3 linked regions of the Rattus norvegicus genome follow. The protein of the gene in region 1 binds, or shares a complex with, the protein of each later gene. Links are inferred from orthologs where the notes say so. Each region holds a gene or a part of one and is shown in the gene's direction. Other genes may lie near its edges.

Region 1 (10,614 bases):
AACTCAGGACTCTTAACCACAGAGCCATCTCTCTGGCCCCTCCATTTTGATTTCTTTTTCTCCATTTTGGCTGGGCCCTAACCCAGGGTGTCCTCTGCCACTGAACTACAGCCTGGCCTTGTTTACGTCAGCCAGGACCATCAGAACTACCATAAGCTTCCACTCTACCTCCTCAGCTCAGTCCACCCAGTCCTCAAATCTTCTTCCTTTGAGAAACCATGTGAGATCCCCTCTCCGAAGAATAAGTCTGCTATTTTCTGTTCTCCAGTCAGGAGATAGGATAGGGTGTCTTCCCATTCCCACCCCCTTCTCCACCGAGCACTCCTTGAGGACAGAAGCTGTTTTAATAGGGCCACTGACTTCCTTCAAGGTCTCCCTCAGTGCCTGGCACATCAGCTCTGAACCGGTGTCTGCTGAGTGAACGGAGAATCATGTGAGTCCACTTTTGTTTCCCCAAGCACAGTTCTCAACTTCTCCGACTGAGAAGTCTCCTTCTTGAACCTCTGTCATATCAAGCACGGTTAGGCCACTGGCCCCGGTTTAGACGTGCGCCTGACTGGCATCTAGAACGTCTTCTGATGAGGACCAGCGTGCTTCCTTTCTGACTCCCACCAGGGTCATGGTGGAGGAGCTCCTGCCCTTCCTTGCTGTCTGTGATGAGACACTGGCTTCTGTTGTCATTGGCCTTCCTGTAGCGACTGTCCCACGGAGAGACTCACCATCTACAGCATCACCTCTACGTAGGACCTGGCCAACTCGTCCTTCGTCTCAGGACTTTAGCACTGATTTTCAGAAAATGAGGAATGCAGGCAAGGATTAAAACGATTCACGGCTCCGCATTTGTGAACAAGTAATAACGTTCACTCACTTTAGTATCCAAGAAGCCCAAACAGTTAAGTGCCTGGATTCCCTCCCGTCTCTGCCCATCAGCTACCCAGGGCCCTTGTTTGATTATGTATTTACAATGCCTAGTCTCACGCCACTTTTTCTGGAGGTTTCTGTCTTCATTGAGACAACAAGCACCCATTTCCCGTGTCCTCACCCCACACCCAGTACCTAACGTGAGTGCTCTGGACAGATACCTGGCAGACACTGTGGATCAGCTGACGGCGTGCCTGTCACACGCCGATATTTGATGAGTCAGGACTTATGGCGTCTTTATTTGATGTGAATCAGATGCGTTTTTCATTCACTTAGTTCGGGGTTCTTCCTGAGATAAGGCGAGAAGTGCTCAGTGCCCCGCCAGTCTTACTCACGCCCGTCTTTACTTTCGTAACCTCACTTCCGTTTGTACGGCTGCCAGTCGAGGATGGTTTAGGGCTCACTCACACATTCTTGGGGGGGGGGTGGCGATTGTGCAAGAAATGTTGATATTTTCCAATTGTTTCTCCTTTTGGCTTTTGCAAGAAAAACTGTCCCTGCCTCACCCTGACCCCACCCCCAGAGGCACTGTGAGCTTCTTGGAACTTCTAAAAAAAAAAAAAAAACCCAAAAAAACGAGAAAGGAACCAATTGGCAGAATCCTGTCCTCCTAGGTAGGGGGGTTTCTGCTTTTGCTTGTGGTCTTTTTGAGCTGTCAAGAGTTTTGGGGAGACTCTCTTGGCCTTGATTTGGCTCAAATCAGGCCCTTCTGTGAGCCGCCTTGCTTGACACGTGCAGTGAACTTACTTTTTTTTGAGGTTACTTCCTGCTCACTTTGCTGCTCTGGGACCTAGGGGCCCTTCCTTGGCTGCTCAGAGGCCTCAGGCACAGGCCGATATCTCTCGGCTTCCGCTCTTCTCCAGACACCTAAGCCAATGGGCTGTGAGCGAAGGGACTGGTGATTAATAACCAGGTCCTTAGCTGTCTCCGTCCTTGTCTGTCATACGTCTGCTATTTTGGTCCCTGTGACTTTGTGGCTGCACCATGATTAGGGTTTGATTACTATCACCAAAGTGACTGAAAGATGAAAATAGAAGGCCCCAACAGGAAACAAACAACTGCAAATGAGATATTTTATTCCACATTCTCTGCCAGAAGACGATCAGAATCAACTTCATTCACAATAGCCCGGACTCCTAACTTTCTCTGCGAAGGGACGCAATAGTCCGAAATGGGTGCCTACGGGTCCCCATTGCGACCGTGAGGCGGAAAGAAGAGCCCTCCCTTTCTAGGTATACTAGCCGGCCAGAGTTCTACTGCTGGCTTCTTCGGGCTTCTGGCTTCTTTCTTGGAAAGGGAAGGAGTAAGAATGTGATGGGGTGGGGCTGGCTGTCAAGAAGGTTGGGATGTTAACAGATTCAGGGGATGCCAGGGAAACCATAAAGCACCAACCATTGCAGCCACTTGCCCAGCATCCCACCCACTACTCCCTCAAGTAGTAAAATGGTATAAGGAAGCCGTGTGGAGAGGGCAAAATAAAGGTGACGCCTGAATTAAAACACCCACAATTACACTAGATGGGAACATAGTTCTGCAAATAGATGAACGCTCCATCCAGACAAGCTGTGACATCAGATGCAAGCTCCTGAAATCCCCATTACACCTACTTGCCTCGTGGGTACCCAGGCCTGTCATTACTGAGGGCATTGGCACCACTCACATTTCCAGACTTCTCCAGATTGTCCGTGCGGCCACAAAGTGTAATTAGGAGGATGACCTTTGCTTTCTGTTTATTTAATTCTTCCTGTCACCTGTAGCCTGGTTTAGCCTCTCTTGTCTACTGAGAGAAATGGGGCCCTGCAAGAACATGACCCTTCTCTAGGAAGCCTTAGAAAGTCTTTCAAGGCTGCAACTCACCTAAGGACCATTGCTAGTACAAGCTGTCTACCCAGTGAGCCGAAGAGCCCCCCCCCCCACGTCCCATTTAAGGTTCCCTATGTCTTTCTAAGATTACTGTGTGTGTGTGTGTGTGTGTGTGTGTGTGTGTGTGTGTGTGTGTGTGAGAATACAGTGCCGATGCAGTGCCGAGGAGACCAGAAGAGGATGTCAGATTCTCCTGGGGCTGAAGTTACATGCAGTTATGAGGTACCTGAAGTGGATGTTAGGAGGCAAACTCAGGTCCCCTGAAAATTCAAGACCCACCTTTCCAGCCCCTTCCCATTCTAAGACGACACATTTTATTTATTTTTAAAGGTTTATTTATATGAGTACCCTGTAGCTGCCCTCAGACACACCAGAAGAGGGCATCAGATCCCATTCCAGACGGTTGTGAGCCTCCATGTGGTTGCTGGGAGTTGAACTCAGGACCTGGTGGCTCTTAACCGCTGAGCCATCTCTCCAGCCCAGATGACACATTTCCTAGACTGCATTTCTGTCTCTTAGGTCATTCATCCCCTGTCTGTAATGGTGGGGTCATCCCTCTTCCCCTCCTTCTTTGGTCTTGAGTGCTGTCTTCTCCCCAGTTTGCTTTAGAGTGCTCACACCCAATTCCAATAAGCGGCATTTTAATTTTTAGCAAAATTACTATGCTACCCAGTAACTGCCTACGTGCCACTATCTGTCCAGTCTTGTTGATGACGATATTGTCTTCCTTCCACAACTTAGGGCTCCCACGCCGGGAGAGGATCATGTGACAAACTTGTGGTTTTCTTTTTTTTCTTTTTTTTTTTTATCATATAGTGCGGTAGGGGAATGGTCTGCAGACCTAACTCCTACCTTGACTCCTACCTTGTTTGAGTTGCTAGTAACTCAACCCAGGACCTCTAATGAATTATACTTCCAGCCCTTGAAAGTATCTATCAGGTTAGAAACAGAAGTTACTGGTCAGAACATATAATTCCGGTTGGAAGAAATAATTACAGTCCACATTTGGTAAAAAATCTTTACCCCACCCCCATGAGTTTTATTACTATCCTGTTACAATTTCAAGAGACTTTTCTTTTTTCTTTTTTCTTTTTGGTTCTTTTTTTCGGAGCTGGGGACCGAACCCAGGGCCTTGCGCTTCCTAGGTAAGCGCTCTACCACTGAGCTAAATCCCCAGCCCCTCAAGAGACTTTTCAAAAAAACCCAATAAATATGTGAGTCTGGGTCACCATGCCAACTAGTTGTCTCAGTCACATTTAACACCCTAGTACTATCCTCAGACCAGCACCCACAGGACTTTCGCTTGACAAATACCTTTTCTAGTTCCAAGCAGTCACCTGCATCTGGGGATAGCTTTCTCTGGAACCTGAGGTCAAGGGAAAAACTCTCTGACCCCAAGTAGGCCCCGCATGCGATTGAATGCTCTAAGCAGGTCTGCTCACTGGGTAACGTTCGCGCGCCAGGAGGCCGAGTGGCGGGTGCCGGAGGTCTTCCAAGCCCGGAGGAAACCTGACGGCGGCGCGCAGGCGAGCTGCACCCCTCCTCCCTCCAGGATGCTGCCCCTCGCTGCTCGTCAGCCTGCCAAATGCATTCCAGAGCTGTGCACAAGACACACTTCTCCAGGCAGTCCTAGAAACCCGAGCCCGGAGCGGGAGAGGGCGGGAGGGAGCGCGGCGGCCGCTGAGGTCACATTCGCGCCGCCTCTCCGCCCTCGGCCGCCCGGCTGTTCCCTCTAGCGCACACTTCCCAGGGCCTCTGTCCTGGCCGGTGTAAATGTCTTTGAAACAGACAGCGATCTCCTCCCCTTTCCAAGGGATCCGCCGCCAGGGCCTTAAAACAAAACGAATGAATGAAGCGCCCCGGCGAGCTCCACTGGTCTAAATCGGGCCACTGACCGGCTCATTCCGCTCCAAACTCGCCCGCTCCACGCCCCCAGCTCTTCCGATTTCCCCCTGCTCCCCCTGGGTCTCCGCCGACCCCCGGGGCCGTCTCGGCCTCCCACCTCCCTCCGCCCGTGGGTACCCCTCTGTAGACCTGGGAGAGGGTGGCGGTAACTGGGAGGGGGGTTGAAATAGCTTTTAGAAACCCGATCTGTTGTTTGCGAAACACAATCGCTTTTTTTTTTTTAAAGCGACAGGGTGTCTAGACGGCCACGTGACGAGGCCGGAGCCGGGCGCGCCACTGCGCAGTGGAACCAGCCGAGCGGAGGGACGGGTGGGGGGGCGGGAAGGAGGCGGCGGCGGCTGGGGGCGGGGGAGGGAGGGGTAGAGGGGGGAGGGAAGGGGGCGGAGGCGGGAGGCCTTGCGGGAGGCGGCGAGCCCTGGGCACATTCGCTCGCTGCTCGGCGCACAGAGGATCTTGTCCCCGAGCAGCGCCAGCAGAGCCAGCCGGGCGCCTCGCTCGGTCCGCTCGCCGCGCCGGAGAGCTGCCTGAGACGCAGCCAGCCAGCCGGCGCCACGCCGCCGAGCGCTCGGCCCCGGAGTCCCTGAGTGCGGCGCGGCGAGCCCCCAGCGGCGGCAGAAGGACTCGAGCGCCAGGAGAGGGCGGACGGGGGACGAGGAGGCTCCCGGGCGCGACGAAGAGAGTCTCGGAGGAAGAGGCTGCGAGAGGACACCCGGGCCTCCTGCCGCCACTGTCGGGTCGGGGCCAGCAGCTTATGCGAGCAGCCCCAGCGACCACCCTCGGCCAGGAGAAGGGGCACCGGCAGCCCCCACGCTAGCTAGCCTGCCGCCTGTGCCCTCGGGGGCGAGAGCTTGCGACCCGCCGGAGCCCGCCGCCGCGCCGCCCTCCCCCGCGCTGACAGCCCCCCGGGGCGCAGCCGCCGCCGCAGCATCTTCTGTCCCTGCTTCCCCAGCGCGGAGGAAGTCCCCGCCGAGGACCTGGGCCCCCGGGAGCGCAGGAGGAAAGACCAGAGACTCTAAAACACCCAGATACGCAAGATTGAAGCAGCCTAACCAGACCTTTCTGTGGATTAAAAGAAATACGATTTTTTTTTTTGACAGAAGAAAAGGAAAGGAAGACCGGCGGGGTTCAGCAAGGAAAAAAAGGGGATGTAACTCGTGGATACGGTTTTTCCCCCCACCCTTCCAACATCTTGTTCTACTTTGTAAACATTTTCTCTTTTTAAACCCCGGCTCCATCCGGTGCCCTCCAGACCTCCGAGGTGCGAGAAGGTGGTGTGTTTTTTCACTGGGGGCTTTGCATATTTGGTTTTGGGGTTTTTGAGAGACCCTCCAGACATCTCACGAGGGGTGAAGTCTACTCGGCCCCCTCCCTCAAGTCTTCGCGTGCACAGAATTCGAGGAGATCCGGTTACTAAGGATATAGAAGAAAAAAATAAATCGTGTGCCTGCCTTTTTTTTTTTTAATTGCCTGCTTCTCCCCACCCCCAAATTAAGTTGCTTAGCAAGGGGGAAAGAGGCTTTTTCCTCCCTTCAGTAGCTCAGCCTAACGTCTTTCGTTTTTTGCCCCTGAGGATCTTCCATGTAGGAAGCCGAGGCTGGCGAGCCCGACACTCGGGAGCCACTGTAGGGGGGCCTTTTTGGGGAGAGGCGTCGACCGGGGCTGCCTCGGCCGCCCCCAGGGAAGCGGCGGCCGCGTTCCTCAGGGGCACGCCGGGGCCCGAGAGCCGCGCAGGGCGCGGGCCGCGCCGGGTGGGGCAGCCGAAGCGCAGGCCCCCGATCCCCGGCGGGCGCCCCTGGGCCCCCGCGCGCGCCCCGGCCTCCGGGAGACTGGCGCATGCCACGGAGCGCCCCTCGGGCCGCCGCCGCTTCTGCCCGGGCCCCTGCTGTTGTTGCTGTCGCCTGCGCCTGCTGCCCCAACTCGGCGCCCGACTTCTTCATGGTGTGCGGAGGTCATGTTCGCTCCTTAGCCGGCAAACGACTTTTCTCCTCGCCTCCTCGCCCCGCATGTTCAGGACCAAACGATCTGCGCTCGTCCGGCGTCTCTGGAGGAGCCGTGCGCCCGGCGGCGAGGACGAGGAGGAGGGCGTGGGGGGTGGCGGCGGCGGAGGCGACCTGCGGGGAGAAGGGGCGACGGACGGCCGGGCTTATGGGGCTGGTGGCGGCGGTGCGGGCAGGGCTGGCTGCTGCCTGGGTAAGGCAGTCCGAGGTGCCAAAGGTCACCACCATCCCCATCCCCCATCCTCGGGTGCCGGGGCGGCCGGGGGCGCCGAGGCGGATCTGAAGGCGCTCACGCACTCGGTGCTCAAGAAACTCAAGGAGCGGCAGCTGGAGCTGCTGCTTCAGGCCGTGGAGTCCCGCGGCGGTACGCGCACCGCGTGCCTCCTGCTGCCCGGCCGCCTGGACTGCAGGCTGGGCCCGGGGGCGCCCGCCAGCGCGCAGCCCGCGCAGCCGCCCTCGTCCTACTCGCTCCCCCTCCTGCTGTGCAAAGTGTTCAGGTGGCCGGATCTCAGGCATTCCTCGGAAGTCAAGAGGCTGTGTTGCTGTGAATCTTACGGGAAGATCAACCCCGAGCTGGTGTGCTGCAACCCCCATCACCTTAGTCGACTCTGTGAACTAGGTAAGAAGTTGTTCTGAGTCCACCTTTCGTTCCCTCTGGCGAGGAAATGCTGGTAGAAATGCTCGAGGGTGTGTGCATTATCTCCTGGAGGAGACAAGGGAACTAAATCAAAGAAGGAACGAGGGGGGGGAAACTCTGACATTCCTTGGGGTTCCCTTTCAAGATTTTGCTCTTGCACCATCCCCCCTCCCTCCAGAGGAAGAGACCCAGGGATACTGCTGCTTAGCCTTATACTGAACTGACATGCTGCAGAAAACGAGACACTCTTATTTCCGGGTATGCAAGGGGATACAGAGCAAAGTGGGGGATCACGCTTCCCCCGCACCCGGAAAGGCGTTGAGGTGTGTGGCCGAGTTGGATTCGGCCCAAGCCCGCCAAGGAAGGCTGGGAGAAACTAGCTTTAAAGGCTGGAGAGTCTCTCCTTTAGTAAATAAGGACAGTCACGTGGGGCACGAGTGGCCCAGATACTGTCCTGGCCTCCCAGCTTTGGAGTTTGGGGGCAGTGGTAGGATGGAGACTGAACTGGGTATCCAGTCTCAGCTGTGCACACTTCGGGGCGAGAAGGAGCAAACAGCCTGGAGAAGTTGGGTGGCCTCTACTTTTTTATCTTTATTTCGCACAGAAAAGCGTACAATTAGTGGTCCTTAGAACGCCCGACACTCCCACCCCTGCGTTTCAGTGACGTCCCTCCCTGCACCATAATTGGCCTGGGCTTCATGGCCGGGACCCTGAACAGGTTCCTCCCCATATTATCCTGTTAGGTTTTCCATGCCTTCTGTTTGCTCCTTGTCTTTGTGCTCAGGGTAGAGGATCATGCCCTGATCCCTGCAAATCTTCCAAGTTCACCAGCAGCTCACTTGGGTGTTTTTTTTTTCCCTCTCAGGTGGGCTGGCTGGGTAGGATTCCCTAGTGCGTGGGTGCCAAGCTCAGCAGTGGGGGCGGAGGTGAATTGTGCTCCTAGTGGCGGGGAGGGCCGGAGAAGCGGGATCTGTAGTTGTAAAAGACACTAAGCAGCCCCAGACGCCCCCCACCCTATGGACTGTTCATTGCGCGGCCCAGCCGCTGGAGCCCTGGCCCAGCCGGTGGTTTCCAGCTCGGCCCGCCGAGCGCGGCGGCGGCGGCAGCCGCAGACGTGGAGGAGCAGAGCGCCGAGGCTGGCGCCAGGCGGCCTCTTTTGTTTATCTGACAGCTAAATATCAAGGCAATCACCGCCTCGCGGCCCTGCCTCCAACCCCCACAGCTAAGACAAACAGTTGGCCTAAAAGAATGCCTGAGTTATCATAAGTTTCTATCTCTTGTTTCTCATGGCTCAGCCTTTATATCCTCTTACTTTTTTAATTTCAGAGTCTCCCCCTCCTCCTTACTCCAGATACCCGATGGATTTTCTCAAACCAACTGGTGAGTAGATGGGTTTCAAGTCTTTCTTTTCTCAGAACCCTGTTTTTGCGTGTGGGTTGGGGTCTTGGGGTGGTGCTTGGGTTGCTCAAGGCAATTTTCCTCTGTTTTAAGTTTGGTGGATTTTCCTCTTGTGATTGGACACCCCCCCCAACATAGCTTCCCCCCCAGATATGTTTTAGGATTTGTTCCTTTTTTTATGTGTTTGAACTGTGTGGTGGAAGTTTGTTCATCTTTCACACATGGAGGCTTTTAATCCACTGCATGTCTTGGGAGCCAAATAGGACAGGTTGATGGAAACGTTCTGAAGCCTTGTAAGTGCCAGAAGGATCTGTGGGTAGGGATGGTTAAATGGATGAGGAGCGATTTTGAAGAGAGGCTTCCGTTTGGAGTATCACACTAGGTTAAGAAGTGCAACAAGTTGGGAGGGGGATTATGTTCCTTCCCCCTGTTCAGTCACCCACAAGCCTGCTTTCTCCTGGGGGTTTTCTCAGAATTCTTAGTAGAGAGAGAGAGAGAGAGAGAGAGAGAGAGAGAGAGAGAGAGACCATAAAAGTTTTCAGCACAGCTCTGCCTGTTGCTTTCTGGCCTGATGGCAGAGGGCCAGGGCAGAAGCCCATTTGAGACTGGCACCAGCCCTGTTGTGGTTGTCTGCATTCAACTTCTGGCTGGCAGTGCTAGGTCCCATCCCTTAGAGCCGACCGTGCCAGGGGACAGGGTCAGCAAAACAGATTGGGGATGGCCTCAGGGACAAGTCCTGCTTCCTTCTTAACAGTGCAAGGATTACAGAACCGTTTGCTGCAAGTCCGGGTTTTTTAGCTTTGCTTTTTTTGTGTGTCTGTTCTGTGGCGCTTACAAAAAACGCAACACTCGTGAAGTCTTTGCTTTGCCAAGGAGAGGGAAAAGTGAAGGGCTGGGCACCCTTTAGCTCTTGGAACCTTTTGCCTCATGAGTTTTGGCTGTTGCAACCCCCCCTCTCCCCTCCCAATTTTTCAGGGACTTTGTCATAAATTAAGTGCTTAATGAATGTGTAAGCAAAGTCCGGGCTAGCCCTCCCTCCACATGCTTCGCCAGTTCCCTCAAGTTGGGAAGGCGTTGCTGCTTGCCTGGTGCCTGCCTAATAGGTGGCCTGTGGAGTATGTGATATTTTGCTTTCGATTTACAAAACACCAGATAAATGGTCATTAATGACGAGATAAACCCAGCTCTCTGCATTTGCAACAAGCTTTAGTTGGCATTAGCAAACTCCAAGGGCTATAACTTGTCTTGAGTTTGTGGCTTAAAGGATCCAGAATTGTTCCCAGAGGTCACTTCTCCGGGGGTCCACCCTCAGTTCTTTTGGCTTTGTGGTTTCCTCATCCGTCTTTCAAATGTGGCCTGTTAACCTTAAACAGAAAGGGAAGGCCCCGTAGCCCCAGAGGTGAAGACAGCTCTGGTAGAGGTTCCCTTAAAGTCCAAACTCCATAGCAAAGAAGGACCATGTGTTCTCGGGTTTGCCAAAAAAGATACTGGGTAAAATCTGTTCACAAGATTTAAGCAGCCATCCTGGCAGGCCGGGACCTCATTTTCGGGGAGTGGAGTGATATATTTATTCATTAGCAAGTGTTGACATTAGGTAGCAAAATGTGTGTAAACAGAGAAGCCACAAAGACAGGAATGTGTGCCATTTCCAAGGAGGGGAGCAACCTTCCCCAGATCAGCCAATAGGAGGTGATTAACCTGCCAATCCGAAACCCAACCAGCTGGTTACTCACCCCCCAAATGTTTTGCTTCAAACAAAACAAGAAAAAGGACCCAAACTCAGGCACCACTGTGTAGAAACACGGGGCAAAGTAGTGGAAAAGCCCCTGTTGAGAGAGCAGTGGTCTGGATAGCAGAGCTGGTCTCAGGGACTGTCCTAAGAGACTGGTCTAT
Region 2 (9,867 bases), on another chromosome or scaffold:
GTGGTGCACATCTGTGTGTAGGAGAGTAAGGCATTGTGGGAACTGGGAATAGGAATGGTAGCACTGGGGAGGTGGAAGCAGGAGGTCCTGGAGTCCAGAGTTGTCCCCAGCTATATACTGGGTTCAAGGCTGCTTGGCCACCTGAGACCTAGCCTCCATGAAAACCAAAACCACTGAGCGGCAGCAGGGGGCGTGGGCATACTGTGTGGCCCTGGAAAGGAAGCTGGGCTCTCTGTCCATTCCCTTGCTAGTCATTGTCGTCACTGTTTTTTAAGATTAAATTTTTTTATGTTTATTTTATTTGTGTGAGTACACTGTAACTGTCTTCAGACACACCAGAAGTGGGCATAAGATCCCATTACAGATGGTTGTGAGCCACCATGTGGTTGCTGGAATTTGAACTCAGGACCTCTGGAAGAGCAGTCAGTGCTCTTAACCACTGAGCCACCTCTCCAGCCTGTCTTTACTTTTTTACCTTTAAAAAAATGCCAGTTCTCTTGTAGCCCAGGCTGGCCTCTATCTCATCATTACACCTGATCCCTCTGCCTTTACTTCCTGGTGCTGCCTTTGTGGGCCTGGACTACCGTAGAGGGCTTATGAAGTGCCAAGGCTCAAACCCGGGGATGGGCACATGCTAGGCAAGCACTCTACCGACTGGTCTGAGGAAATGTCCTCTACACGTGTAATCAGGACGGAAGTGGGTTTGTTTAAAAACAAGGGGTAGAGCCAAGTGTGGTGGTGAAACCATTCGATCCCAGCCTGGGGTAGGTGACGGAGCAGGAGAATCTCTGAGTTGGAGGCCAGTCTCGTCTCCATAGAGAGTTCCAGGCAGGCTGGAGCAACATGGTTGCCCTGTGGTAAAGGTGGCTGCTGTCTGTGCAGCGGTATTTTGCACTGTAGGAAGAATGAGATTCCGTTAGCTTGTATCTCCTGTGGAAGCAGGCAGATCAAGAGTGGACGGAGATTGCAAATTGGCAAACATTATTTTAGCAGAAGAGATCGTGTCTCTTTAGACTGCAGTGACCCTCAGTGACCTGTAAACAAACCGAGCCAGGCTTTCTTCACACAACATCGCCGAGACCATCTCCATTTAATGATGTAACCAAGTCCCACAGGAGTGAGCCTAGATGAAAACATCAGTAGCTTTGTAAATATGAATGGTGACTCTTATTTTTAACAGATGAGATCAGAATTACTCCATTAAGAAGTATTTGGATTCCAGTGCCTCGGAAAGCTGGGGCTCAGCCTTGGCGAGTGATGTGGAGATAGAGGTCAGGGTGTGCTGGGTTCAGTGTTTGCAGGGGGAAACCACCGGAGCAGGTTTATTGACAAGATCTCATGTGCCCAAGCTGGCCGTGAGCTTACTGTATAGCTGAGGATGTCCTTCAACTCCTGACCCCCTGCCTCCGCCTCTCAAATTATGGGTGTGTACATCAGCTCCTGGGCTATGTAGTGCTGGGATCAAACCCAGGCCTTTCATGCTTGCACAGTTAACGCAGTCTCAGCCTTCAGCCACCACACAGCCTGTGCTTCCAGTCATCAGAAATGTTTGGAACCGGGCACGATATCAGAGCCACGGGACAGACTGGGGTTGCCTCTGGGTAGAGAGTTTGAGGGGATGGAGGACTGCTAATGGGAACACGTTTCTTTGAGGGCCATAGAAACGTGAAAATTGATGGTGGTGATGCTAGCCCCACGAATGCACAAGGAACTTCAGTCATGCGCTGTTTAAGTGGGGAGGTGTACCGTTGTTGTGCTGTCCCTACGGATTTTTCTTAGCAACGTGGGAACGTGCTCAATGTAGCGTGAGCATAGAACACTGCATTCGTGAAAACCAGCAGAACGGCTGAGACAGCCCAACAGGACGCGCACTGTCTCCCCTGTGCTCCCTCCTACCACGAGCAGGCAGATGAGTGACAAGATATATCATCTCTTCACCTGTCATCCACCCGTCTGTCTGTCTGCCTGCCTGCCTGCCTGCCTGCCTGCCTGCCTGCCTGCCTATCTGAGGCAGGGCCTGGCCATGGCGCTCAGGCTGGCATGGGACTCATTCACTAGCCCAGGCTGTCCTTGAACTCATGGTCCTGCCTCATTTCATGATGGCTGTGAGTACAGGCGTGAGTCCCTCACTCATCCCATGATTGGTGCTGGTGGCAGTGGCAGTGGTGACGGTAGCGGCAGTGGTGGGGATACTGTATCAGTTACATTCTTGCTGTCTGCCCGTACTGTTTATTTTTACCTTCTTTAAAGTTATTGTTTATGTGGCAGACAGTGCAGGGAGCTTACACAACCATTTTCAGGAGTCCGTTCTCTCTATCTGTGGGTCCTGGGGATTGAACTCAGGTTATCAGGCTTGGTGGGAAGCCCCTTTACCTGCTTAGCTTTCTTGCCAGTCCTTTACAGCCACCTCCTCCCCTTCTGAGTGCCTTGTTGTTGTTGTTGTTGTTTTGTTTTGTTTTATTTTGTTTTGTTTTGTTTTTCAAGACAGAGTTTCTCTGTGTAGCCCTGGCTGTCCTGGAGCTCACTCTGTAGACCAGGCTGGCCTTAAACTCAGAGATCCACCTGCCTCTGCCTCCAGAGCGCTGGGATTAAATGTGTGCACCGCACTGCCCGGTTCCTGTACAGCCTTCTGAATATGCAGCTTTTTAACTTTTCCCCACACTCTGCTAAAAGCTCTGCCTTTCCCACTGTCTTTCCTGATTTCTCGTCCCCCGTGTACCAAGGTTTATACTTGGAGAATCAATCCCCACCCCACCCCCAGTGTTATTTATCAGAATACCCACAGAGCATAGCTCTCTTTGTTGCTAGCAGCTTTGTAAAGGTAAATGCAGCAGCTCTTTTTAAAAATTGGTGTTTATGTAGTTTTAAAGCATACCAGTAATTCCATCTCTGTGTTCGTGCATTTAATGTTTTAAGCTTAAATTACAGTGTTTGAGTTTGTTGATTCCCCAATTTGAGGGAAGATACTTTTAAGACAGTTGCTAGGGACATTTGTCTTATGTGACACAGTTTGAGAGATTGCTGGCACGTTAGCTTCTGTGATGTTTTCCCCTCCTGTTACAAACACTAAGTAGGGGCTGTTCGCTGTATCAATGCTCACTCCCGTGTTTGCTTGTTTTCAGTATTGTGTGCCAAGAACCTTGCAAAGAAAGACTTCTTCAGTAAGTACACCCAGCTTCACTTTGTATAATACAGTTTATGTACATCTGGAAATTAACGTGTGCGTGTGTGAGTGCGTGCATGCGTATCCCATAGCATGCATGGGTGTGGAGGTCAGAGGACAACTTCCAGGGAGCTCTCCCCTTCCACCATATTGCTACCAGAGATTGGATTTAGATCCTGTTGGCCTCTGACATTTAATTCAAAACAAAACAAAACAGCTGGTGTGGTCTTCTAAGAGTCTAGGAGTCCAGCGCTCGACCATCACCCCCAGCTGCCCACAGCGTAAGTCTCGTCCCCATTGCAGCCATGCCCACACCCCCTGCTTCCTGATCCCGTCGCTGCTCTCAGCTCAAACACAAATGAGGCATTTATGATGTAAGTGGCTTGGCCAAAATTGCCAATCCAGTTTTGCAAAATAAATCCACTTTGAAACGTCTGTAGTGGGAGGAACTGTAAAGTGCTGAGGGCTGTGCCCGGGCCCCTTCGAGTGCCTCACCCGCCATGAGGTCAGTGCCGACATTCCTGAAAACTGCCACTGCCCCATCCCAGGAGGCTTGCAGAATAAAGAGACTTAGGCCCAACGGCTTTAGCCAAGTAGCTGGGAAACTCCAAAGCGGTGGCTCGCAGCCTGGTCTCTCTCCAAAGCCTCCCACCTTGCTGCTTGTCTGGCATCAAACCTGTCACATTCACATGTGACTTGGGGACTGGTACCGTGATGCCACAGATAGCACAGGCAGAAGAGCAGTGACATTTCCAGGGACTGTGACTATTGAGGAATTTACTTGATAGACCTTGTTTCTACTTTCAGTCCCCTTAGTGATGATCGGAGATGGGCTGGCTGAACAGACAGATCTCTTGGTGTATGTGTTCAGTGTTTGCTACTGTTTGCAGGTCTGGCTCCAAGAAACCTGACACTTAGAAGCCTTGGCAGTACCTACACACGTGTGCATACACACAGACACAGACACATACCCATAAACAAAAGCAGCTTTTAAAATGTAAAGCCCACCAGAGATGGCGGAGCCCTTCTCCATGTTTTTCTGCTTATCCAAGTAGGAAGGCGTGGTATGCGGCTCAGAACTCTCTTTGCTAATGGAGAGACGGTGAGGCGTGGCATGTGTAAGCCTTATCCCAAGGGGGGATCTTGCCACTCTTCTGCTGTAGGATGCCACTATGCTACTAAGTAGACTGTCACTGTATCCGGTATGTCTGCTCTCTCCCCAGGACTCCCCGACCCCTTTGCCAAGATTGTTGTGGACGGCTCTGGGCAGTGCCACTCAACCGACACTGTGAAAAACACCCTGGACCCAAAGTGGAACCAGCACTATGACCTGTGAGTCAGACCCCTGTGAGGCCCTGTGGCTGTGAAAAAGTGGCTGTCAGCCTTGGAGGAGACACTTAGAGGAAGAAAAAAGATGGCTGACTTTACTAATAACCAAAGACTTGCCAAAGCGAATACATGTTGCCAAGTTCCCAGTCAATATCCTCTGCTATCTTGGCGTTAGTTCTCATGGGTTTTCATGATTTGGCCCTTTTTTTTTTTTTAGTGAAACCATGTTTACAACCAAAAACAACCCATCATGCATTTTTGTATATTCATTCCAAATTTAGGGCCATGCTTCTATGTTGGATGCATGTCCCTGCACGATGACTATTAACGTGAACTGCACTGTGTGGACAGGCGTGAGAGTCATTTTAGTAGCACTTGCGTTTTTGTAATTTTCGTCACATGGCTTGGAATGTGGTTACCGTTTGTCCTGATAGTTCTCTCTGCGGCGAACATGCCCTAGGATTGAGTAGGGTTATTATTTTGGTCCATGAACCTTTGTACATTTTGGATGGACAGTGAAATTGTAAGCAGCCTCAGTGTACGCTGTTAAGTCTTGGTCACTGCCTTCCAAAGTGTGAGCATAGTCAACCTCTTTACAAGACCTTATCACGGGGGTTGGGGACATAGCTCAGTGGTAGAGCGCTTGCCTAGCAAGTGCAAGGCCCTGAGTTTGGTCCCCAGCTCTGAAAAAAAGAAAAAAAAAAAAACAAAAAAAACAAGACCTTATCACATGCTGGGCCTGGTGGTATAGGCCTGGAGTGCTGGCACTTTGGGAGGCTGAGGCAGGAATATTGCAAGTCAAAGGCCTGCCTCGTTTACAGAGCCAATTCAATCTGGCTCTTATGTAATAGAGGAGATATAAACAGATACAGACCGAGGTAATGATCCCACTGTAGTCCACTTGTTGATTTGATGGGCACACAGGGTTACTTACAGGACAGGTGAGGGGTGACTTAGAGGAGCAGCTGCAGTTCTGAAAGCCTACCCCAGCACCAGCAATGTCCTCTGGAAGCTGGACTCTATTGTTCTCTATAGGACTTGCAGGCAGCTCAGCAGCTTAGAAAGTCTTCTCTCCTCAGCAGTCCCTACCTTTTATCTCTGGGAGGGGTGGAAGGGAGGGACCTTGTGAATCTGGTAAGTTTCAGGACTTCCTGAGACTTGTGAGTTGCTTACTTCCTGTGTTTTAATGAGATTCCTTTAGGGGTTGGGGATTTAGCTCAGTGGTAGAGCGCTTGCCTAGGAAGCGCAAGGCCCTGGGTTCGGTCCCCAGCTCCGAAAAAAAGAACCAAAAAAAAAAAAAAAAAAAAAAAGAGATTCCTTTAGAATTTCCCGAGTCTCAATAAGTCTCCTTCTGGTATAGAATATTTCAATTTCAAGAAAATTGCTTCATAGCACCAGCCTGGGCAACTTAAACTCCATCTCAGAATAAAAAAGGGTTTTTGTTTGTTTTGGGGTTTTCTTGTGTGTTTTTGTCTTTTTAAGGGGTGTGGGATGGGATTGGGCATTGGTCATATGGCTTAGGTATAGAACACCTGCCGATTGTTCTTCACTTTAGGTAGAACTCTTGCCAGTGAGGGGTCAAGGGTGTGGCTCAGTGGTAGAGGACTTGCTTTGGCCCCTGTGAGACTCTTGGTTTGATCTCTGGTCTAGTAAATAAATGAATAAAGGAAAAAAACAAATTTAAAAATGCTTATTACAACATGGCTGCCTGCACTCACTGCTTGAGTATTTGGTTGGAGTCCTTTTCCCATGCCTAGAAAGATACAGCCAGCCCTTCCCCCCCCACTGCCAGGGTTCTGAGTAACCAGATGCAGTTAGCTGAGGGTGTCATGGTTCAGAATTGCACCTGAACGAGTTTGCGTGCTCTCACAGGTACGTTGGGAAAACCGACTCGATAACCATCAGTGTGTGGAACCACAAGAAGATCCACAAGAAGCAGGGGGCTGGCTTCCTGGGCTGCGTGCGGCTGCTCTCCAATGCCATCAGCAGATTGAAAGATACCGGCTGTAAGAAACAAATGCTCTTCTGCTTCTCAGTGCATCCACAGCAAGCACAGGAGGCACCCTTTCCTTACTTTTATTTGAATGCCGAATACAGAATTCTGCCTTCCCTCCTTAGTTGACATTCTTTGGGTTAAGTTTTGAATTGTTTGTTTGCAGACCAGCGTTTGGATCTATGCAAACTAAATCCCTCAGATACTGATGCAGTTCGTGGCCAAATAGTGGGTAAGAATTTTCTCATCTGCATAAAGGGACTTAGATGGAACCCACCGTCCTGCTCCCAGTGCCGACAGGGGATAGGCTTCCCGGGCAGACCACATCGGGCCATCTCTCCAGTACTAAGCCTTTCCTCTCGTGTGGTTTTCATTCTTTCCTGTGGTTCCCTTCATCTTGTCATTGAAACTGAGTTACTGTGACTCCAGTTGAGATGGGAGGTTGTGGTCTATAAGTGTTAAGCTGCTCAGCACAGGACGGACAATCGGCCCTTGTCTTGTCAGGGGTGACAAAGAGCTGAGACCACATGGGCAGGAGCTGGAGTGAATGGCTTTTCTGGGAAGCCCTGTTCTGTGGCAAAAGCAAAGTGTGTGACACATTCCGTGTAATGTGACTTAGTCAGGGGACTCCATTCTGTGGAGAGAAATGTTAAAGTGTGCTTGCCGAATTGCCTGCAGGCATCCGATGGAGTGACCTCTGAGTCACTGTCCCCTTGCCCACCCTGTTGTTGGCCTGGTGTTAGGGGAAAGCACATGCTGGCTGGCTCTGTGTGTACGGCACGGACTCAGTGCAGCGGCAGTCAGGCTGAGTCATTCCCCACTCCAGATGCCTCTGGTCCTGAGACAGTGAGCAGGGCATCTGCCCAGCAGCAGCCCAAGGATAACGGTTCCTGCACTGCGTCCACTTGGAGTTCTTCTTTCCTTTGTGGAGGGATATGTAGGGCCAGAAACCAAACAACCAGAAACCTAGGAGTAAAACGTCTTTCTTGTCTGCATCAGTGAGACTGGAGCATAAATGGTTTTTAGATTGAAGGTGTTCCTTTGCACCCTCACTAAGCATAAACCAAACCTTCTGAAGATGGAATATTAATGAGGTGAAATATTGTGTTCTTTAGTGTTATATGGGGATGGGGCCTGAGAGACTCGGTACCTCTTCTGCTCTCTGCTTTCAAGGAGTGTTCAAATGGTTATGTGGTGTGTGCGGCTGTTGGCCTGAGGTGCTTTCCACTGAGACCGTGGGGGAGGTGTAAACTCACTTCCTGTTTATGACGCTGGACACGTGTTGCCGTGTGTCAGCGGCTCACTGTGCTGCAGGGGTCTCGAGCAGCCCTGGGTGTTAACGCAGGCTTTTCTCTTGTGTTGCAGTCAGTTTACAGACCCGAGACAGAATAGGTGGTGGAGGGTCGGTGGTGGACTGCAGGGGACTGCTGGAGAACGAAGGGTACGTATGCCTGCCTGCCTGCCTGCCGTGGTGCCAGCCATGTCCTCTTTCCCTGTAGGGCAGAAGCATCAAACTGTATGGGATAAATCTGGGCTCCAAGCTGCCATCCAAGTTTATGAAGGACTGTACCCCAGGGACTCAGGAACCAACAGAGGGAAGCGTCTACCAATTAGAGGTGCCGGTTTAGCTGGGCACGAGGGTGTATGCCTGTAATGTCAACACTAAGGAGACAGGCAGGAGAATCCTGAGTTCTAAAAAACTGGGGCTGGGGATTTAGCTCAGTGGTAGAGCGCTTACCTAGGAAGCGCAAGGCCCTGGGTTCGGTCCCCAGCTCCGAAAAAAAAAAAAAACAAAAAAACAAAAAAACAAAAAAAAAAAAAAAAAAAAAAAAACCTGAGAAGCCCAAGAAGCAACCAAGGGGCCCACGCTCAAGTATGCACAGGTGGAATAGTAAGTAAAGCAGGGTTTGACTGACACTGCCCCTTGGTGGGGAGGCTGGAAGTCAGCCTGGGGACCCCCGCTGTGACTGGCTGCTGCTTCCGGGATGAGGGAGGCCCATTGCTCTGGTCCTTCACTGAAATTTTTCAATATGAGGTTTAAAAGGTATCTGATCGGAAGGGGAAGTGACTCAGTAAGGCAGATTGTTTTTGAAGCTGCAGATTGTTTTTGAAGTGGGGAATGTTTAAAACACACCAAAGAGTCAGTATTTTATGGAACCAAGAGTTTCATCTTGGAGTGAAATATCAGAAAATAGAGTGTCAGGAACACCTTCTGCTCCACCTCCCCCATAGATAGCTGCACACACACCCCATCTTCCCGCCCCCTGCCAACCCCACCCCATGGTCCTGCTAGAGGGCCAAGTCATGGTTGGCTCTGACCCGTTCCTCTCTGGGGTCTTTCTCTCTTGTTGGACCCTCTCAATATTGTGAACCTTTGCGTTGGGATCACTGTCACTTGTTAAAGGGTGTTGTTGTAAAATATAAAAATAAAAAGTAACATTGTCTTTTACCTCACTAGGTCCTGCACCTCGGTGCCCAAAATATCTGCTAGATATCTGGGTGGAAACACATCCCAGCTGCACACTTTCCTACACTCAAACCCTCACATAAAAGAACACATAACACAATAATCTTAGATCCAATTGGTAAGATATAATTGCCCACTTAAACATACAAAGCCCGGTACCATCCATCCCTTAGGAACATTAATAACAACCTGTAAATACACAGAGCAGAATCTTAACATCACCTGCCATGGCTTCTCCCCTCTTTCCGTCTCCTGTCTTTCCTCTAGTCCGAGTCTCCTCCTCTTCCTTCAAACTTCTCTCCCACCCATCCTTCCTTCTCCTCCAATGACAGGCCTCCTTCTATCCTGTACCTGCCCCTCGCCTGTACTTTACAAATTCAATGGGGAGAAGGTTCTGGTGAAGTCACCTGAGTTCTGAGTACATGACTACTAGGCAGCTGTCCTAGGGGCAGTGGAATTAGCATCAAAATACAGATAACTCCAGGGCAAACCACAACCGAAGGGATGTAGAACAATTTCCTGTGGCCTTTGAGTATGTGAGTCTTGTGACACTCCATAATGTTTCCACGCCTGCTCTGCCCTACCCTACCCCTTCCAGAACGGTATATGAAGACTCAGGCCCTGGAAGGCCGCTCAGCTGCCTCATGGAGGAACCTGCCCCGTATACAGATGGCACCGGTGCAGCGGCAGGAGGTGGGAACTGCAGGTTTGTGGAGTCTCCAAGCCAAGATCAGAGACTCCTGGTACAGCGACTCCGAAATCCTGAGGTTCGAGGATCCCTACAGACACCGCAGAATCGACCACATGGCCACCAGTCACCGGAGCTGCCTGAAGGCTACGGTGAGTGTGAAGTTTGCTCCCTGTGGCTATGACAATAAACACCATGACAAAAGTAGTTTGAGGAGAATAAGGTTT
Region 3 (9,867 bases), on another chromosome or scaffold:
TGTGTCTCCACAATGGTAGTGTTCTCTTTCCCCCCTCAATAAAATAATTTTTAGAAAACAGTAGTGAAGGGAGAGTTTTATATTTATTTTTATTAAGTTCACTGAAAGAAACCTAACGACCTAAAGTTTAGGACTCAAGGCTTTGTTAAATTGTGAGCTCTCCCCCAATAAATTATAAAATGTAAACAAAAGTCAAGCATGATAGAGTATGCCTTTAATTGCAGACCCAGATGTCAGTAAGTTTAAGGCTTGCCTGGTCCACATAGCTACATTGCAAGGTTCAGGCCAGCCAGGGCTTTATAATGAGACCCCATCTCAAACAGAAAAAACAAAGCAAAGCATGTTTTGTGTTGAAGGCCCAGTGGAGTCATGATGTACATACATAGTTCTAGCACTCAGGAAACAGAAGTCAGACGATCACAAGCTTTAGGCCAGCCTAACATACATAATGAGAGTCTGCCTCAAATAACAGCACAAGTTTTTTTTTTTTTTTTTGGAGCTGGGAACAGCACAAGTTTTAAGTGGAGAAATGACATCTATATTTGAGTTAGACTTTCTTTAAGTTAACAATGTCCTGTATTATTTTTCTTTGTCTATATGGCCCAGTTATCTTTAAAAGTTGTGTTTTGTCTTTCAGTTTGTGGTATCATTTAGCAAATGTATCTCTTTTATGGGAGGTTATATGCTTTTTATATGCTTAAATCAGGCATTAAAAAAGCCTAGATAAGTCTGCTGCATCTCGTTAAAGGCACCAGTCAAGAAGTACAGTGGGTTTCTTTAAAAAGCTTGTCTATGGTGGATCTCTAAGTTTAAGGGCAGCCTGGTCTACAGAGTGAGTTTCTGGACAGCCAGGACTACACAGAGAAACCCTATGTCAAAAACTAAACCATAAAAAAAATGAGCAAAAGAGCTTGTGTGTGGAGTACATCCAACTTAGCTCTGCTTAAAGACGCCCACAGTACTCCAGCAGCTAATGTCTTAGTTCTGTGTGGCGGTGGTTGGCTTCTTTCCTTAATTCCTGTCATGTTGCATACAACTGAAGCCTTCAAATGCAGACTTGTATTGTTTTTATGAAACTGTCTAACTTTTCATTTTTTTTAATCTCCATTTGAGCATAAAAATCATTTCTGGTGTTTTACTCTTTTAATTGGTACTTTTAGTTGTCACTGTAGATTTATACATTCTAATAAAATTATACAAAAGCAAATTCCACATTATATCAATAGTAGAATTATTTGTCCTTTATTTTTTGTAAAAGTTTGATCTAAAAAAAAAGCCACCTGTTCCTTTCAAATAATCTTTCCTCAATGACTCATCTTTGCAATTGTATGCCTCATTCGTTATTTTTATTATTTTCTTATGTTTCTTTTAAATCTGCAATGCTAGAGTTCAAACCCTGGGCTTGTATAGCCAAAACAAGCATTTATTATTTAGCTTGTATCTCCTATTGTTCTACATAATTTTTATGTCACATAGTTTTTAATTTTTTATTCATTTTTTTCCTGCATGTATATGTGTCCCATGTGCGTGTCTGGTATCCATGGAGGCCAGAAGAGGGCATTGGATCCCGTAGAACTGGCATTACAGGGGGTTGTGAGCTACCCCATGTAGGTGCTGGGGATCAAACCCCCAGTGTCCTCAACCACTAAGTCATCTCTTTCTCCAGCCCTTGTTTAAACATCACGCCCTATATTTTCTTTATGGTCTCTTTTAGTTGGAGCTCTCATTCTGTAGCTTAATGTTTATACTAGCTGTCACAATGTGGTCCCTCCTAAAGTCTTCATTGACCTTACAGTGTGTGAGGTTCCTTCTTGAATTTGGTGTATTGTGTTGTATTGTTTTTTTGATTTTGAGGTAGGTTCTTTATGGAGCTCTGACTGACATAGAATACACAGAAATTCACCTGCTTGTGCTGGGTTTAAAGGTGTGTGTGTGCGTGTGTGTGTGTGTGTGTGTGTGTGTGTGTGTGTGTGTGTGTGTGTGCGCGCGCGCGCGCGCGCATGTGTGTGTTTTAGATGATATAATTTTGGTCTACATCGCAGGCTGGGCTTGAACGTGCACTCTTCCTATTTCCTCAGCCTCTGGTTGCTGGGATTACTGTTAGATGCCACCATGCCTGCCTGATGTGTTACTTCATCTTTATTAGTTGGCATTCTCTGGGAAGTTGTAGAATTGCTTCACGCTTTTGACCTCTCTGCTTGAGAAGTTCCAGGACTTCTTTCCCAATCTTGGTGCTGACCTCCACCTTCCCAGCTGCCTCTCAAGTCTCGCACTTGAGCTCGCTCCAGCATGGAGTCAGTTCTTCATTGGGAATTGAGGGTTCTCGGAGCTTTGCTTTGCCTCTTCTGTAGTGTTTTCAAGCCTTAGTTGTTCTGCAGCAGACAAGTGTCCAGGATCACTTAGGGCAGAAATCAGAATCACTATTTGAAGAACTCTTCCCGAGCTGGAAGTGGTCTCAGTGGATACCATACGTCTTCACCTGCAGCCTCCAACAACTGGATCACTCTGGGCTGGTCTCTCTCTGAGGAAGCTGTTGATCTAGCAGGACAGAGGGTAGAAATTTACGGTGCTGTTGCTGGTTTTTAAACAACCGGAGGAAGCAGTACACATAGGACAAGGTTGAGGAGAGCTAAGATCTTCTATGCTCTGGGCACCCCACCCCCCAGCCACTTCAGTGTGTTCAGCTGTGTTCTGTATGGTCCTGTGCATCCTTCCGGTGTGTGAAACAGTAGCAATGGTCCTTGTCTGTTAAAAGTACTCGAGCTCTCCTTTGTTGCTGCAATAAGCCTTGAAGCAGTCTTCTTAGGTTTTTTTTTTTTTTTTTTTTTTTTTTCCGGAGCTGGGGACCGAACCCAGGGCCTTGCGCTTGCTAGGCAAGCACTCTACCACTGAGCTGAATCCCCAACCCCTTCTTAGGTATCTTTACCCCAGGGTTTTCTTCATGAAATTTATAGACTTCAAAATTTAAAACAACATAGTTATTTCAATTTTAAAAATGTTACGATTATTTCCAGGATCATGATTTTAGTACTGTCCCAGTTTTGCTTTGTTGGAGAACACACAGTCACTCATTGCATGCACATTTGTCTGCACTGGCTTTATGGTACAGTAAGACAGAAAACATTGAATAGAAATTTCTTCCATTATCGATGCTTGTAAAACAATACTTTCTGTCAAACAAATACTGATGTGTAGTTTATGTTGGCAGGTAGTGTGACTGCCCGTATTAATTTAAAATGTGTATTACATTAAAGCCTGGGACCTTACTAAATGCCAGACTATGTGATACGTTCTGAGCCATTTAGGGATTGGGTGTTGAATGTGCAAGTTGTGAAACCATTGGGAATTAAAGATTCCAGCGGAGCATCTCAGGTTTCTGAAACAATGCATTGTCTCAGACTTTGTGGACCTGCTCTGTGTCACAGACGCTTGCTCGGCCCAGCAAGCCCAGCAATGAGGTCTTTCTGCTGTGTATTTGTTTTGCAGGGATCTTAGCAACATCAATTGTGAAGAGCTCGGTCCTCTGCCTCCTGGGTGGGAGATCCGCAATACCGCGACAGGCAGAGTTTATTTCGTGGACCATAACAACAGAACAACACAGTTTACAGATCCTCGTCTCTCTGCTAACTTGCATTTAGTTTTAAAGTAAGTTTCAAGGCAGTACATTTGAAAATACTGTCTTAAGCAAGAGGACATGTATGTGCTTTTTACAATAAATGTGAAAGAATATGCACTTTCTTAAATTTACAATATTGACTTAGATTTATATGAGTTCTCTAGAGATAATCCAGGTTGGCCTTGAATTACTGCTGTGGCCTCGCAGACCTTCCTGCTTCTGCTGCTCAGTGTTCAGACTGTAGACAGGAACCACTGTACTGAGCTATGATTTACTTTTACTGATCAGAGTATAGGGAAGGAAATGAGATATTTTTCTCTGAAGTAGTACATATCTTACTTTCACTCTGCTTAAACAGGAAGTAGTACTGAAGTGTCAGGAAGAGGTATACCTGAGAAGTGCTCAGGCAAGAAGGCTGTTTACAGAGGCCATAGCTTGACCAGAAGTTGAGACTGAGCAGGCTAATTCTTTTTCTAACTATTTATGTGGTAAGTTTATTCTTGTGTATGTTATTTTGAGATAGGGTATCACTGAGTTGCCTAGGCTGGTCCTGAACTCACTCTGTGGCCTTAACAGTCCTTGAACTTGGGATCCTATATCTTAGGTACTCAACACTACCAAGCCTAACTTGAATCATTGTCACCTTATTTGATAGCACTAACAGACAGGGTCTTAGAGGAGAGCCCACTGTGGCCTTCACTCTGTAGCAGAGGATGGCCTGGCTTCTAATATGGGGTACCCTGCCTATCTTACAAAGTAGTTTTTATTCCTTTGTATAATTGTTTTAAGCTCATGCAGAGAGGGAGGAAGAAGGGTAGGTGAGTGTCTGTCTATGGCAAAAAATGTTCTTGGAGTAAATTCTTAGGCTATTGTCCAAATAATAAATTATTGGAGTTGGTTTAACTATTAGTCTAACTTTTAGGGAGCTGTTATACATGGATTATACATAACCTTAACAAACATTTGTAGATTGCTGTGATTCTAAGGGTTTTTTTTCCCTGTTTCAGCATTTTAGGAAGTGAGGGGAAATGTAGATTACTTTTTTTTTTTTTTCCGGAGCTGGGGACCGAACCCAGGGCCTTGCGCTTGCTAGGCAAACGCTCTACCACTGAGCTAAATCCCCAACCCCGGAAATGTAGATTACTAATCAGATCATATAGAGGGCAACTATCTGTGCCAGCTTAGAGCCAGTCTTCAATCGAAACTAAAGGAGTTGGGAATTCCTTTTTGAGAGAAGCAGTGGGAGAAGCTGCCTGTTAAAAGTCTGTAGTAGGTTTGTGTGCACATTAAGGGCACCCTGCAGTTGCATTGTGGGTACCTGAATCTCCCCCAGTTCTGTCCTTCCTGGTCCCTTTGAGATACCATGGTTACGTACTGTAGAGGGCTGTTTTTGATGTTATACAGTTAAACTGTTCTGTGTTTGAGGTCTCACCATATAATGTCTAAATGTTAGGGTACAAGCATTGTTGAACTATTGCAGAATATCGTTATTAGGACTCAGTAAATCACCCAGCCAAGGACACACATCCTTTGCCCAAAGCCCCTTTTTGAAAAAGAATCTTGAAGAGATGGCTCAGTGGTTAGGAGCACTGACTACTGCTCTTCCAGAGATCCTGAGTTCCAATTCCCAGCACCCACATGGTAGCTCACAACCATCTGTAATTGTTACTGACGCCGTCTTCTGATGTGCCTGAAGTCAGCTACATATATAAATAAAATAAATAAATCTTAAAAAAAAAAAGGAATCTTGCTTGAAAAGCATACTTTATACATTTAGCCCTCTATCAGTAAGGAAAATGGAGCTGTGGACAGTTTCATGGCTTTCCCAGAGGAACATAAAATGTGCTGTGAACTCAGCCTGACTGTGGGGTCTTCTCCCCCTTCCTCTTCCTGTTTTCACCCTTTAATACTATGCCTATTGTTTTTAAAGCAATGATAGAAATTCTACCTTATAATTAAAGGAAACTTTTAAAAGTAAAAATGAGGGCTGGAGAGATGGCTTAGCGGTTAAGAGCACCCGACTGCTCTTCCAGAGGTCCTGAGTTCAATTCCCAGCAACCACATGGTGGCTCACAACCATCTGTAATGAGATCTGATGCCCTCTTCTGGTGTGTCTGAAGACAGCTACAGTGTACTCATATATAATAAATGAATAAATCTTTAAAAAAAAAAGTAACAATGAACAAAGATTACAACTTGAATCTTTTCTGTTTGTCAGGCTTACTTATTTCAAGAAAATAATTTGCTTGATAAGGACTCTGCTTGTTGTCAGAGGCCTTGCAGGCAGCAGATTGGCATCCCCACTGCTTTCCGACCAGTGCTGATATCATCGTTCATATAACCGCCCCTTATATACCCTAGAATAGCTGAGGAGACAGGCTGCTTCATTGGTTTATTTTTGTGGTTTAGACAGAATCAGGTGTAGAAGGAATGAGCTGCCAGTTTAGGCTTCTGTTTGGTTTTTCCAGAAAAGGAGACTCTAGATGGTGGGGTGCTTGGCACCTGCCTGAGCTTTAAATAGGTGATGGGATGATGGGGAGGAAGTGGTATCTGGGCAATTCTTCTTAGCATCTGCATAAGGTTTGTGAGGCTTTTACCCTCAGTAACCAGTTCTGTCAGCCTGATAATCTGCCCCATAAGACTCAGACATTGATAGATTTCTCTTATAGGCTTATGCTGATTTAAATGTGTAATTGCAATCTTTTATTTTCTAAGGTCCTTTGATAACATTTCTGTTTATTTCTAGTCGTCAGAACCAGTTGAAAGACCAACAGCAACAGCAAGTGGTGTCGTTGTGTCCCGATGACACTGAGTGTCTGACAGTGCCAAGGTACAAGCGAGACTTGGTTCAAAAACTAAAGATCTTGCGGCAAGAACTTTCCCAACAGCAGCCTCAAGCTGGCCACTGCCGCATTGAGGTGTCAAGGGAAGAGATTTTTGAGGTAAATATATAAGCCTTAATTCCAATTAAAAGAAAATTAAATTCAGTGATTTGCTCTGTTTTTTTCCCCTCCGTTTTGAGACAGTCTCACTGTGTAGCTCTGGCTAGCCTGGAATTGTCTATATTGACCAGGCTGTTCTCAAACATCTGCCTCTGACTCCCTCCTTAAAGACTGGGATTAAAGGCATGCACTATCATGACTGTTTTACTCATTTTTTTTTGTTTTACTCATTTTTTAAAATTATTTTATTTATGTATTTTTTTAAATGTATGACTGTTCTGTATATACAGAAGAGGGTATCAGATCTCATTACAGATGGCTGTGAGCCACCACGTGGTTGCTGGAATCGAACTCAGGCCCTCTGGAAGAGCAGTCAGTGGTTTTTTTTGTTTTTTTCTTTTTTTTCTTTTTTTTTTTCAGAGCTGGGGACCGAACCTAGGGCCTTGGGCTTGCTATGCAAGCGCTCTACCACTGAGCTAAATCCCCAACCCTACAGTCAGTGTTCTTAACCGCTGAGCCATCTCTCCAGCCTGTTTTACTCTTTCTAAGAATACACTTTTGGAACTCATATCTGATTGGAGTAAAAGTATTCTCATATATTCTCTCTCTCTCTCTCTCTCTCTCTCTCTCTCTCTCTCTCTCTCTTTGCTCTCCCCCCACACCCATGTGCACATGTGTGTGCATCCACGTGTTTCAGAGACAAGGTTTTCCTGTGTAGCCCTGGCTGTCCTGAAACTCACTCTTTACACTAGGCTGGCTGTAACTCACAGAGATCTGCATCCTGATGAGTTTTTTGTCCTTGGTTACAGTGTCATTTGTATTTCAAAATGGTAGAAAGAGCATCTTCTCACCTGAAACACTAAATAATAGTAGTGATGCTTGTGCACTGGAAGGAAGGGTACAGAGGGCCCTGGTTCCCGGTCTTGGGAGGCAGAGGATTCTTCCTCAGAGGCTGCAGGTGCACTCAGGCCGTGATCATGGTCATGGCCAAGACTGCAGTCTTGGAGCTTGTGGAGGAAAGTAAGGCTTGAGATAAGAAGTAGATCCTGTCACCACGCTGGGCTTTGTGGTCAAGAACATAAAGATTGGGGGCTGGAGAAACCCCACAACCAACTATAACTCAAGATCCCAGGAGCACAATGGCCTCAGTGGACACCAACACATGCACCTGAGTAAAATAAAAATAAATCTTTAATAAGGGGCTGGGCAGTGTGGGGAGCTGGAGAGGTGGTTACGAGTATGACTGCTCTTCCAGAGCTCCTAAATTTAATTCCCAGGAACCACATGGTGGCTCACGCCATCTGCAATGGGATCCGATGTCCTTTTCTGGTGTGTCTGAAGACAGCAACAGTGTGCTCATAGTACATAAAATAAATATTTCTTTAAAAAAAAAATCAGGTCCCTAGCCAGAGATTCCTTCTCCCTGACCATCAGCTTCCAAAAATAGCTTCTTGGGGTGTTGGTCATAATTAAGGTTGTGAAGATGAGATTGAGGCAGTTTTAGAAATAGTCTTACACTGGCAGGTGGACAGTTCAAGGCATTCGTTGGCCATTGGAGACTGCAGTAGTCACATCGATGTTAGTGCTAGGTACAGGGCTAAGATAGCCACCAGCATTCAAGCACCCATCATCTTAGATAAACTCTCCATTGTCTTGGTACACACAGGCTACCAAAGGACTGAGATAATCAAACCCCATACTGTCCCAAGCATGGTAACAGACCATTGGCCCAGAGTCACTGGTATCATCCAAGATGCTGTTGTTGATGGCCAGGATTGACTGTGGCCACCCAGGGCTGCTTTTGATGCCATCTCCAAGATCTACAGCTACCCCAGACCTGGAGAAACAGACGTGCTCACCAAGTCGGGAACTACCTGATTATCTTAGGATATTCGTTCTAGGGTCTCTGTACAGAAGAGTCAGGATCCAGCTTTGGATACCATAAACGGATTTTTATATAAGAAAAAGTGAAGCAAGCCCATTTGAAAAAAAAAAAAAAAGATAAAGGCATGTGACACCACACCTAACTATGCAATCACAGCTCTTGGGAGTTAGAGTTAGAAATAGGCAGATCTCTACAAGATCAGGGTCAACCTAGTCTATATAGCAATTTCTAGGCCATCCAGAGGCCAACATTATCTACATAGGAAGTTCAAGGCCAATCTGGGCTTTGTTAGGGTCAATCTTGACCCTGTCCCCAGTATACAATTGCCTGTGTGGTTAATCTTTCATGTATGTTCTTTTAGAAGTGTGCTTATTTTACTTTAGTTTCTACTAGTGCCTCTGACAGAAATTAGTTTTACGAATTAGAGGAAAAGAAAACTCTTTTTTTTTTTTTTTTCTTTTTTCTTTTTTTTGGAGCTGGGGACCGAACCCAGGGCCTTGCGCTTACTAGGCAAGCGCTCTACCACTGAGCTAAATCCCCAACCCAAAAACTTTTAAATTAAAGGCTGAAGCCCCTAATGATGGTAATATATTAAAATTATTTTTCAGGAATCATATCGACAAGTCATGAAAATGAGACCAAAGGATCTATGGAAGCGATTAATGATAAAATTTCGAGGAGAAGAAGGCCTTGACTATGGAGGAGTTGCCAGGTAAATTCATGGATGTCTATTTATTAATTGTTCATTCAGTCATCATCTGTTTATTTATAGTTAATCCGTGAGTTTTTGCCTGTGTGTCTGAAGATGTAGCATGTGCATGTAGTGCCCAAGGAGGCCAAAAAAGGACATAGGACCCTGTGGAAGTTGAGTTACAGACTGTTGTGAACCACTCTGTGGATGCTGGGAGCACAGCCCAGGTCCTCTGCAAGGCCAGACAGTGCTCGCTCTCTCTCTCTTTTTTTTTAAACTAATTTATTTACTTTATGAATATGAGTACACTCTAGCTGTCTTCACACACTAGAAGAGGGCATCAGATCCCATTACAGATGATTGAGAGCCATCATGTGGTTACTGGGAATTGAACTCAGGACCTCTGGAAGAGCAGTCCGTGCTCTTAACTACTGAACCATCTCTTCAGTCCCCATATGGATCTTTGTATTAGACAAAATTAAAATACACCTATAACGTGTAACTGTCATGGATGTGAAGTATAAAACTCCCCACTGTTTGCAAGACAGATGCAGTCCCCGTGGGTTTATTCACCATGAGATGACAGTCTCGGAAGCGGAGTTAATACTTAGGGTCAGGGAAGCCCTGCAGCACTCTGTAGGACTGGCTGGCCTGTGTTCTCACATCATCAGCACATCTTATTTCCTCTGTCAGTTCTAAACTGAATGCTGCTTCTCTTGCTTGCTAAACAAGC

Evidence for each region.
Region 2: the proteins of Smad7 (region 1) and Smurf1 are in contact, whole or in part, in an NMR structure (PDB 2LTX), measured with the Homo sapiens proteins. The link is inferred for Rattus norvegicus from reciprocal best matches to the Homo sapiens genes SMAD7 and SMURF1. Residues at the interface, in NP_005895.1 of Homo sapiens: Glu203, Glu205, Ser206, Pro207, Pro208, Pro209, Pro210, Tyr211, Ser212, Arg213, Tyr214, Pro215, Asp217; in NP_065162.1 of Homo sapiens: Glu313, Arg315, Ser316, Thr317, Arg321, Tyr323, Val325, Asp326, His327, Arg330, Thr331, Thr332, Phe334, Thr335.
Region 3: the proteins of Smad7 (region 1) and Smurf2 are in contact, whole or in part, in an NMR structure (PDB 2LTZ), measured with the Homo sapiens proteins. The link is inferred for Rattus norvegicus from reciprocal best matches to the Homo sapiens genes SMAD7 and SMURF2. Residues at the interface, in NP_005895.1 of Homo sapiens: Glu203, Leu204, Glu205, Ser206, Pro207, Pro208, Pro209, Tyr211, Ser212, Arg213, Tyr214, Pro215, Met216, Asp217; in NP_073576.1 of Homo sapiens: Glu304, Arg306, Asn307, Thr308, Ala309, Thr310, Arg312, Tyr314, Val316, Asp317, His318, Arg321, Thr322, Thr323, Gln324, Phe325, Thr326.

Annotation. Positions count from the first base shown.
Region 1 is NC_086036.1:71,258,238-71,268,851, forward strand, and holds the start of Smad7 (mothers against decapentaplegic homolog 7), read left to right. Parts: upstream 1-5,270; 5' UTR 5,271-6,692; coding exon 6,693-7,305; intron 7,306-8,649; coding exon 8,650-8,703; intron 8,704-10,614. UniProt on the Homo sapiens protein: Antagonist of signaling by TGF-beta (transforming growth factor) type 1 receptor superfamily members; has been shown to inhibit TGF-beta (Transforming growth factor) and activin signaling by associating with their receptors thus preventing SMAD2 access.
Region 2 is NC_086030.1:14,811,163-14,821,029, forward strand, and holds part of Smurf1 (E3 ubiquitin-protein ligase SMURF1), read left to right. Parts: intron 1-3,122; coding exon 3,123-3,161; intron 3,162-4,386; coding exon 4,387-4,495; intron 4,496-6,364; coding exon 6,365-6,498; intron 6,499-6,651; coding exon 6,652-6,717; intron 6,718-7,850; coding exon 7,851-7,926; intron 7,927-9,550; coding exon 9,551-9,792; intron 9,793-9,867. UniProt on the Homo sapiens protein: E3 ubiquitin-protein ligase that acts as a negative regulator of BMP signaling pathway. Mediates ubiquitination and degradation of SMAD1 and SMAD5, 2 receptor-regulated SMADs specific for the BMP pathway.
Region 3 is NC_086028.1:92,282,228-92,292,094, reverse strand, and holds part of Smurf2 (E3 ubiquitin-protein ligase SMURF2), read left to right. Parts: intron 1-3,486; coding exon 3,487-3,645; intron 3,646-4,667; exon of another isoform or gene 4,668-4,748; intron 4,749-6,362; coding exon 6,363-6,558; intron 6,559-9,051; coding exon 9,052-9,155; intron 9,156-9,867. UniProt on the Homo sapiens protein: E3 ubiquitin-protein ligase which accepts ubiquitin from an E2 ubiquitin-conjugating enzyme in the form of a thioester and then directly transfers the ubiquitin to targeted substrates.